3 linked regions of the Arabidopsis thaliana genome follow. The protein of the gene in region 3 interacts with the protein of the main gene of each other region in a pairwise test. Each region holds a gene or a part of one and is shown on either strand. Other genes may lie near its edges.

Region 1 (3,761 bases), on a different chromosome or scaffold from region 3:
TTGTAATTTTTGATTATTAAGATATAAATCAGTAAGAAGTTGACCATTTGAACTTGTCAATTTAATACTTAAGTTTCCCAAAAGCATATGTATATATTATAATCAACATTTGGGAGATCAATCGTAGGCTCCTAGCTAGAGTTATGTCTTTTTCGCTTCTACATATGATAGTACAAATTACACAGCATAATATCATAATGTAAAAAACTAACCAAAAGAAGAAAATATAATTTCACAAAATGGAAGCGAAAATATGTATCCAACGGTAACACATTAAACATCATCAAATATATAAGCAAGCCCAACTGTCTCATTCTTTCATGAAAAAATATGTACATGCAAATAAGAGAGACAAAATAAGATCTTAAGTTACATATAAGTTTTTTTTTTCTCTACCTCTCTCTCTCAATATATATAATATATGTAGTTATAACAATGATCGATCAAGGCTCTTGCTTAAAGAAAATTGAAGGAAAAATCTCCCTCAAGAGCTCATACTCACCCCCTTGATGATACACTTGGTGAGAACTAGGGTTTGAATTCACACTACCATAACCACTTTGTCCATATCCATAATCCAAAGCCGCCGCCACAGAACCGCCGTTAGTATAAGCTGCCGTCCTAAACATATCATGTGCAAAGCTTCTTGGAGTCATGAGGTCTGCGGAGAACATAGCAGCCGCGGCAGAACTTCCTCGAAGATTAGTCGGAATCGGGTGGTTGTGTTGACCCTCGTAAGTTGTAATCACAACCGTTGGATCTTGGAACGATCTCTCCACTCGTTTCTTCACGTTGCACTTTTGTGTTGTACATCTATAGTAACTCCTATTTTCGTTTCCATTGGCTATTATCAGTTACACTATAATGGTCGCATTTTTCTAAACACAAATTTTCACAAGCCTAGCAATTTCAAAAAATAAAAAGGGAAAGTTTAGTTACCTTGGATAAGGGCTATTTTTTACAGCCTTTTGGCCGTATTTTCTCCATCTATAACCATCTTCAAGATGATCAACTTCACTTTTAGTCATAAACGAGACTCGTGGCTCTCTTTGTTTCTTCACCTCAGTCTTTTTCGTTTTCCCACTGAAAAATAATACACTATAAAATTAATACACATGCTAGACTAAATTCCTAAACGAAGAGATCAAATGATGTTCAATGTTTTGCATAAAAGTTCCTATAGAGTTATGACTTACACTTTTTTGGAAATTTGATCTTCTTCACCGACTAACTCTCGTTTCCTCCGGCTCTTACCGGAATCTTCACCGGGGTGATCAGCCTCACTAGAGGAAGAATTAGAAGGAGAAACCCTAGTTTCAGTCTCGTTGCATGCACCACCATTGATTACGTCATTAGTAACATCACGGTTCGGTTCTTGATCGATCGAAGAATTGAAAACCTCTGAGGAAGAGGGAGAAAGACCAAAAGTTTTCTGAAGTAGAGATTCATACGCTGCTGGAGAACTTTGGAGACAATCGGTGAAGGAATAAGTAGATGGATTAAAACCGTTTTGTGATGGGAGGTTTCCATAAGAAGATGGATTTGAAGTAGGCAGATTCATCATTTCGTGCAACGAAAACGATGAAGGGTATTGGTAGTTGTAGAGATCTCTGGTTTCATTAGACATGGTGAAGAACAATGAAGAGAGAGGTAAAAAAAGAGTAAAGAAGACAAAGAAGAAGAGATGAGATAAGCCTTTTAGGTTTGGGGATTAGGTTTTTAGGTTTTTTTCCTAAGAGGTCTAGATTGGTGCTTGGACTTTAATTTGGTCTTCGTCTCTCGTTCTCGTATTTATGCATTTTGAAACTCAAAAAAGGAAGAGAGAGAAGAATAATATGATTTTGGCTACTTGGTTTGGAAATAAGTTAATTAAGTAAAAGTGTATTGAGATATAATTCAATGGTACGTGTGTGAATCCAAAGTCGTGTTAATACTTTTATTTTTCTATCAACTTTGTTTTTTCTTGTTTCTTAACTAATCTCAATTTAAGTTGTGTAATTTTTTCCTATGCAAATTAATTTATATGTTAAAAGCTTTCATAATATTTCTTCCTCACGTTATTTTATCAGTATAATTTTGAATTCATATACAAAAAGGTTCAAATAAGTCTTTTTAATGTTTATCAGTCAAATGTACATAAAGTTAATTATAAATTAATAATGTGAACGATAAGCAACTTAATAGATAGGTATATATATATATATATATATTCAAGAAATAAGATATAGAAGTAGATGATAATTTTATTTGTGATATCATGTTATGCCTTTTGAATGACTTTTTGGTTTCGGGCAATAAGAACTTTACGTAAAGCTAAGTTGACAAAAATAGAGCTGCAAAACTGGCTTCTAGTGAGGAAACATACTTAAGCTTCTATATTTTTAATTCAGAATATGCTTACTTGCAAGTATTTCTATACCACTAAATACATTTCTTCGAGTCTTTGCATTGTATCTTCGTATAAATTTCCTAAAATTCTACTTTTATTTTTCCACATTTGATAAACATGCATAAATTTTGGGTTATTTTTGTGTGCTGCCTTTTTTATGGGGCCAAAAAGTAGGACATGAAAAGTTCTCACCTTCATTTTCTTCCCCACTCTATACGTGGCATATATAGTGGACGGGCTTGATAACACGCGCTACGACTAAACGGCGCGTGGAAGAAGACGACGTTATTGAAGGAGTCTTAGTCAGCGAAGACTATGTGTTACCGGAAACCGGAAACACTCAGTCACCGGCCGGTCGTTTGGTGTGAAGAATGCAGTAAGAGGCAGTCAAAGATTCAAAGGGAAAAAAGTTTACGAAAACAAAAGATTATATTTTGGGAGTATTAGGCTGCCACGTGGAAACACTTGCACCGGCATTTGACCGTCGCCGACACATGACCTGGCACGTGCTAGAGACTGTCTTCTCTTCTTCTTCTTCTTTTTCCCTCACTGTTTCACGAACCTTAATAATTATTCATAGGTAATTCCTAGTCAAGAAGCAATAATTTAGACCCTACATATTTTGGTTATAAAATATGAATATATGAATCTCTTGATATTCAAATTATTTTCATGTTTTTAGTGTAAGATTTGACCCAAAGAATCATACATTGCTAATAATTTGCTATAACATTCAAAGAAAATTAGTTACTATGGGACTTTAAGTGACGTAGCTATGTGGAGTGGATCGTTACTTATGCTGACGGATAAGTGAGATCATGATTACGCAATAACAATTTCTTTTTCACATTAGAACTTTCTGTTTGCAAGTAAAAGAGCATCTTAATTTATTAACTTATATTAAGGAAAAGATGGTCAAACCAAAAGTATCTATATTATGAAAATGTTAACATTATGATAATTACGATAAACCCTTTATATACAATTTTATTTGCGATAATTGTGGGGAATTAAAGTTGCATGTTATGAACCCTATGCTTGATTTATATAGCTAGTAATCGTTTTCATGAGTTTGTAGAAATTGATAGGAGCATATGATCAGGAAAAAAGGAGACATATAATGCCTAACCGACATGACAAATGCGAAGGGGACATACATCAACTTTAAATGTGGTCAAAGTGATATATTTACTACTATGAAAAATCACTAAAATATGGCAAGATAAAAACAAATACTAGCATCTTGGAAGAAATCGGTTTAATCACTAAAAATTTGATATGTCATGGTCTTTTGGTCACAATCCATTTTTTTGGTAGGTGAAGGATTCAACTCTTTTTTTTTTTTTGGTCACACCTAAGTTTTTGGATTACA
Region 2 (3,761 bases), on a different chromosome or scaffold from region 3:
ATGTATCTGCTAATTGATCTTTTGACGAAATATGAACAATACATAAGAAACCGGGAGTGAAAAACATGATTAGGATAAAATGATAGTCAAGTGCCACATGTTTCAAACAAGAATGAAACAAAATGATTATCCCATAGATAGATAGCTCCAGCATTGTCACAATAGATCACATGATAAATCGTAAAGGACACACCAAGCTCCTTTGTGAGAGACGTGATCAAACAAAAGTCAAATGCAATGTCCAAGATATATCTATATTCATGACGATTTCGCCATTAATTTTTGCTTCTTTCAAGACATGTCATCGGATGAGAACCTAAATACATGATGTTAGCACTTGTGGGGAATAATCATATCGGTTTCCGACTTCAGTTTTGTTATTACCACTTATAGAACATTTCAAATACCCTCAAATACATGTTGAAATATATTAGTTCAGCATGTTATAGGGATGAACAAACAATCTTATCTTCAATGACCTATGCATAATGCTTGTTGATTTTAAATTATAAAAGAAAGATATCATTGATGTAAGCCTTTAATCAAAAAACAATATGTCAGTATCATTGAGTTAGCCAGGTGAACAAGTAACAATTAAAAAATAACTTCTAAACAATGTTTATTAAAATACTGTACTAAAAAACTAACACATTCAGTATTAATCTGTTATAGCAAATGATTTTTTTTTTCCTTAACAAAAAAAAAAAGTTTACAACTTTATAATAACTCAAAATGTAATTTCATCTTTCAGGGATGGATAAGTACAAATTTTCTTCTTCTTTCTTTTTTCATTAACCTGTAACCACTACCTTTTTTTTTTTGTTTAATATTTACATCGATCTCACACCAAACCCAATTCCCAATGAAAGTACCAAAAAAAAAGGATTTAATATGTCTTTTTTTTTTGTTTGGACAAAGATTTAATACGTCCTAAGATGATGATTCATCAAGAAGTTGAGAAGAAACAGCAGAAGATTGAGACCAGAGCCTTTGATTAAACTCCAGTTGAAGATGATCAGGTATAAACTGTGTACGACAAAGTGGACACGTCATCTGATTATAACCCATCATCCAACGGTCCAAACATCCCCGATGAAATATATGTCGACAATTCGTCAGCCGTCGGATCTCGTCGTCGTTCTCGAAATCGTAGAGACACACTGCGCAACACTCGGATTCCGGTCGGTTTATATCCGAGAATCGAACAACCGGTAACATCTCTCCGGCTAGTATTGCTGCTGAGTCAGGTTTGGTCAACGTGGGTGGTGGGTCGGGCCATGAGGTTGAAACCGGTTCAGGTTCTAAGAAATCTGGTAGACCAATGATCTTGAACATTGTGGAGATGAGTTTACGTATCAAACCTAAGAAAGATAACAAGTAGAAAAAGATTTTTGGGAGAAGTAGCTCAGAATATCCCACCGGAAAACCCATTGCCTCGCCGTTAGAGAGATAAATGATAAGACAAGAGACAGAGAGAGAGAGAGAGAGAGAGTTTTGGATTGTGATGATAAGGTGGAGAATGGGTGAGATTTATATATAGGAATAATAACTTAATTAATGTATTAGTACTAATTTAATAGTCAATGAGGTGCTTTGTTTTTTGGTATTTTGATTCGTTAATAATTGTTCTAGATGAAGGATATTAGCCAGGAATGTGGTGATGATGTTTCTAGAGGTTATACTAGTAAATAATAGAAGACTACTTGACCTTTTTTTTTTCTATATAATTTAAATAAGGGTTTTAAATAATTTCTTATATGTATTTTACTATATAATAAACTCGTTACTTTCAAATTTCCATTTTAAATCAGATTTAAACACTAAATTTCTGTTTATTTAATTTTAACTTTCTTACAATTCTTGATTTATGAAGTGGTATAAAAGTTTTAGGAGAAAAGACATGTATACATGAAATACATAATGACATAATCAAAGATATTTACAATTGAGTATACATTATTTTTAATACGGTATACGGAGACAGAAATGTAACTTCTGCTTATAGCACCCAAGAATACACATAATCAACATATTACAAATGAAAAAAAAAAACTCATACCTAGGTTAACCCATGAGGGTTTAAATATATTAAACTTTTCTAAAAATCCCAAATATTAATTAGTCTATACTTTGGTTCAAAATCGTTCGATTACAAAATAAAAAAAATCGTGTTTTTATTTGAATCTTTGGTTCAAAATTATTGGATTGATGTTTTCAATGTATTTTAGCGTAACTGAATTTGGATTTTGACAAAGTCACTACAATACACGACTTATGTATTACGTTGTAATGTGTTAATCGTTAATTGGTATGGATTTTGACTGAGTTCTCTTTGAACTTCACTCATGTTCAAAGAGTCACTGCATCATAAATGGCAAAAAAGAAAAGAAAAAAAGAGAGTGGGAACTGCAACATAAGGGATCAGATCTGGATGAATGATCGAATTTCTGTTCTTAAAATACGATCTTCCTCCTCCAAAGCCGAAGGCTCCATTTTGAAGATGCCATCGGTGGATCTTGCAGTTTCTTCGCCATTATATTGTTCTCAAAATGCTTCTGATTCTTTATCTCTTTGTTAGATGAAAGAGAAATAAAACAATTTTGGGAATAATTATTTTGTTTATAATTTTTATGAGAAATACATCAAAATCAGAGATAAAAGGCTCGTATTTGTTTTACTCGTGATTTAGACAAAATAATACATTGAAACTCAAATGTAACAAAATCAAATAGAAATTGAATGACAGTGGATGTCACCGTGTCTTTGAAAATACATACAATTCCGTTAGAATACAATATTCAATAACCCCACTCTAAAAATTGATCTTTGCCTATAAGCCAAACTAGTCACATTCATAAATTATTAGAATTAAATTAAAATAGTCAGACAGACGACAAATAATCGAGGTGAAGACAGATAGTTAGGTTCATTTCTTTTCAGTTTGTCTGTACCTCTATTGAACTATGCTATAAGCCTATAAAGTATATAAACTATGAATATATACGTGTGTATTTTTTTAAAAAAATTAACTGTTTTAACAAAATATTGCAAAACCATTATTTCTATTTTTAATGTTTTTGTATGAGAAATTTTTGGTCTACATGATTTTATTTTCACATGGATGTAAATCATAAAGTATCAAGATTAGTAGTAAACAAAGGTATCACGATTACGTCGTTTTCTATGAAATTTTACCAGATTTTTTAATTGGCTGTTACGTTTTGGTATAAATATGGGTACCCAAATGTTACTTATGGTTGATAGGATTTGAGTTCAAATGCATATTATGTTTGTATCTTCACATCATTACATGACTAGTTGAACTATCATCAATCTACATATTCGTCATTTGCTATATTAATTACTAGCATTTTGAGAGTGTATACTAAGTATATTAAGACCTAAATTAATTACGTAGAAAAGTCCACATAGCTCTTCAATTTGGCTTTTGATTCCGTTATGTCAAATATACTTCTAGAATACAATATTAAGGGATCTATTTCTGAGGAAGAGCGAAAGTCTCATGTCATATGGGAATCTGACTAATGTAATGAAAGAGCCAAAAGCAGCACTGACCCACCTCACACTCTCTCCATCTTCTCCTCCAACATTTCACATTCCAAAATTTAACACTTTCTTTTTTCTTTTGCAACTATAACTATATACATTAACATAGTATATATATATATATATATATATACACATTAACATATATATATATATATATCAGTTAAGTACATATACGTCAATTTGTTGATGCA
Region 3 (3,761 bases):
GTAGGAAGTGGTCACTCGTCGTCGGTTATACAACATGTCGGCCTAAATTATCATTTTATATGCTTTGAACATTCAAAAATTAACAAGACTGGAATCTAATAAGCTAAATTTAGACCACAAATGATATTTGGAAGTACCGGTTAAAGTATAAACCGATCATGATCAACGATACACCCAATAAAGATTGCAATACGATCTCGACCAACCGACCGAGATCATTATAGTTAGATTCACGAAAACACTTCTCAAGAAAGCCGAAAACGAAAAAAAACATTCCAAGTTTCTATACTTTTAATGTCTTGGGTCATGAAAATAATATATTTTCAATAGAGAAAAAAAAAAAACATAGTAAACATAATATTTAAGCAAATAAATAAAATGTTACCTGATGCAAGGGTACTATCGTAATTAAAGAAGCGAGGCTGGTAAGCTGAAGAAGGCGGAGTGAGAGAGAGCTCCGTCGTACAAGTAGAGACAGCTGACACATCGTCGTCGTCATCTTCTTCATTGATGAACTTACCTTGATTGTAGCGGCAAGAGGACGAAACCGTCATTTCAGCGTCTCTTGACAACGTCGGAGGAGGCTGTTGACGTTGTCTTTGGCTTTCTCTAGTCCGTCGAGCCATGATGACGTGCCAATGGTTCTTGACAGCGTTATCGGTACGACCTGGAAAGAGACGAGAGATCAAAGCCCACTTGTTGCCATAGGCTCGATGAGCTGCTAACAGCCTAAACTCTTCTTCCTCCGTGAAGGCTCTCTTGTTAATCCTTGGGTCTAGTTGGTTAAACCATCTCAATCTACAACTCTTGCCTGTAGTCAAAGAAGTGTCCCTCACATTATAAAAATTAGTTACTATCAAGCATTATGTCATTATGCCTTATACAACTTAGTCTAACTTGTAAAAACTATTTTTAAAAAAATCCAAACACAATTACGAAAATGCCTAATAACTTTGGAAACTCAACTCACCAAAGTTTTTAAATATATTTACTTATTTTTCTTCTACATAAAAATAGTTAAATTTGCGGAATTTGGAGTAACAAAAGTGAAGGAAATAATTAAGTAATAAGAATTTTAAGTAAAATAAATGTACCTGATCTACCAAGAAGGTGGTTAGAAATCAAGTTCCAGTTTTGGGGACCAAACTGGGCAACAAGCTCCTTGAGTTTAGCATCTTCTGTTGGTCTCCAGTGTCCTCGTGAGCATACTTTTGTGTTAATTCCACTTTTGCCCCTCATTCTTAAACTCTTTTCGTTTTCACCTCTCTCGTTCCCATGTTCATCTTCCGACTCCAAGACTGAGGCTGATTTGTTGTGAGGATGGTTTCTAGAGATAGAGGGGTTGTTGAGTGAAGTTTTACAAGCAGCAGTGTGTGAGTTTGGTAGAGATCTGAAGTTGTTTGCTTCTTTGTATCTTATTGACCCATTTGTAGTTTCCTTACCTCTTAGATCTTTCTCAAGGAGATTTGGATTCATGTTTCTGGGTTTAGGGATTAAGGGAAGAGAAACTAAAAATAGAAGAGAGATAGAGGGAGAGAGCACTTGAATGGCTTTTCACTGTTTATATGGTGGAAGAGGAAAGAGAGATTCTCTAAAAAAAATTATTGAAATTTATATTTTTATTTACATTTATTTGCAAGCTAGTTAATATATATAGAAGAATATTTTAGAAAATGATGATGAGTGCAGAGTGGTTATTTAATGTACATGAAAAACAAAATTGATAGCTGTTTATTCACACACCAAAAGAAATTGAAGGGAAAGTTTTGTAAAAGCATATTCAAATGAATTACAAGTGTTAATTACCAAATTGTGGCCTAATAATCCCATGCTAATGGTTTTATACAATTACGTGCGGTTTCATTTTATTTATCATTTTTTTTTTTTTTTCAGCAACCACATTTTAACTATATTTATAGTCGATGCCTCGATGGTGGTCGTACAAAATCGAAATTCGATCATTAAAATTCCAAGATAGATCTATAACAATTTTTCATCACTATCTTCATAAGAGCTGCTTGTTATTGTACTAATATTGTGTTAATTAAATAGTTAAAATGAAACCGCACGAAAACATTAAATATTCAAGGTTCACGTTTTCCTTCACGTACGTTGCGATTTAGTTTTTACTCTTACACGAAAAATTTCGAATAATGAGATACTTTCAGTACAAAGCTCTCTCTCTCTACACGTGCAAAAGTAAGGGATTTGGAAAAGTCGGTGGGTACGTGTAGTGTAGATGCATGCAAAACGAGACCCGCTCGTGCGTGTGGGAGGGTTCGATGACCATAGGCCCCACAGTCTCAACAGTCTCGGAAACTCCAAAAAACATTTTTGAACCGCTCGTGTGGCTATAGTATATACTATGCACACATACAGATATTGCACGTACGTTAAGTGTGTGTGTGTGAGTTAATTATGGGAAAAAACAACAGAATCAATTTTTGTCTGTTTCGGACACAAAGCAAGAAAAGATCTTAAAGGGAGAGAAATAAATTGCTTTTATGAGCTTTCTGTTCTCTCCATAACGTATAAGTGTGTATATATATATTCGCATCTTTCAAAGAACTCGTTTTGTGTAGTTAAATTATAAAGTAATATGATGATTAGCTCAACAACTAGTTCAAGTACTTCAATATCTTTTGAACGATGGGTTCGACGTCGTTTGGGGTGTATACATTTTTACTTATATACTATATTCAGTGAAATTCAAGCATTGTTTTTGTTTATTACTTAAATAGTTAATTGAACTCAAACAATGTTGTGCGTACATTTAATGGAAAACAGACGTGGCAAACAGAAAACATATGCACATCCTATATTTTTTGCTACTAGTTTAAATTTAAATTTTGCTGTAATTTTTGTTTCAGGATGAAATATATAATCTTTGTTGAAGTTTTTTAAAAAAAACTATCATCAAATTGGTTATTTTAAAGTAAGTTTTAGGTACGAAGGGAACATAGTTTTTTTAATTTTTAGGAAAACTAAAAGTACAAAAAAGAGAAGAAAATGTGAATGGTGACAAACAAAAGTTCAATTCATTTCTTATAAACCAAAAATAATAATTGAACAACCAACTCTATTGAAGACCATTATTATTCAATGATATGGACTATTTATGCTCCCATTGAACCTATAAGTTGTAGACTTTAGTTTTTTGTATCTTTTTGATATAAGAATTGAGTGGTCATTCGTTTGAATGTAATAATTATCTTTCATGCGTAACAACTTACTATAGTCTTGATATGACTAAACAAAGCTACATATTTTAGTAATTGTACTAAACTCGATCGAGTATGCAACCACATAATTTTGATGGATTAAAATACTAGAGATTAAAGAGAGAAATCATGTAACTGAACTCGAACTAGAATTAAATTCAACAATAATAAATGAAGAATAAAACAAATATAACACGAATAGACGTTAGAAACCAAAGAAACGACAGAAAAGTACCTAAAGTTTTTTATTTATTGTGTCTTGTTTTTATGTGAGTTTCGGTTATGGGAACGGTTTCGTTAATTTTGAAATCTTCTGTTGACGACAAAAAAAAAGTCTTGTACCGACGTGGAATGACGACATCATTGGCTGTTACACACGAGCGGATCGTGTTCTTACCTAACACGTGTACCGTCCTCACGAATTTCAGTTTCCGGTTCATAGAAAAGTTCCCCGAACCGTTATGGACCAATTCCACTTTTCTTTTGTTTTTTTATTAAGATACTTTGAATGATTATTATTTAATAACATTTTTGCAAATC

The links.
Region 1: the proteins of MYB56 (region 3) and WRKY28 interact in a two-hybrid assay, tested with the Arabidopsis thaliana proteins (one large-scale study listed by BioGRID).
Region 2: the proteins of MYB56 (region 3) and AT1G63840 interact in a two-hybrid assay, tested with the Arabidopsis thaliana proteins (one large-scale study listed by BioGRID).

What each region holds. Positions count from the first base shown.
Region 1 is NC_003075.7:10,059,374-10,063,134, reverse strand, and holds WRKY28 (WRKY DNA-binding protein 28), read right to left. Parts: upstream 1,922-3,761; 5' UTR 1,628-1,921; coding exon 1,197-1,627; intron 1,084-1,196; coding exon 940-1,083; intron 826-939; coding exon 444-825; 3' UTR 242-443; downstream 1-241. UniProt on the Arabidopsis thaliana protein: Transcription factor. Interacts specifically with the W box (5'-(T)TGAC[CT]-3'), a frequently occurring elicitor-responsive cis-acting element.
Region 2 is NC_003070.9:23,689,061-23,692,821, forward strand, and holds AT1G63840 (RING/U-box superfamily protein), read right to left. Parts: upstream 1,748-3,761; 5' UTR 1,432-1,747; coding exon 931-1,431; 3' UTR 543-930; downstream 1-542.
Region 3 is NC_003076.8:5,874,962-5,878,722, reverse strand, and holds the start of MYB56 (myb domain protein 56), read right to left. Parts: upstream 1,611-3,761; 5' UTR 1,477-1,610; coding exon 1,095-1,476; intron 812-1,094; coding exon 386-811; intron 1-385. UniProt on the Arabidopsis thaliana protein: Acts as a cell-specific local repressor of quiescent center (QC) self-renewal by cell divisions in the primary root. Counteracts brassinosteroid (BR)-mediated cell division in the QC cells.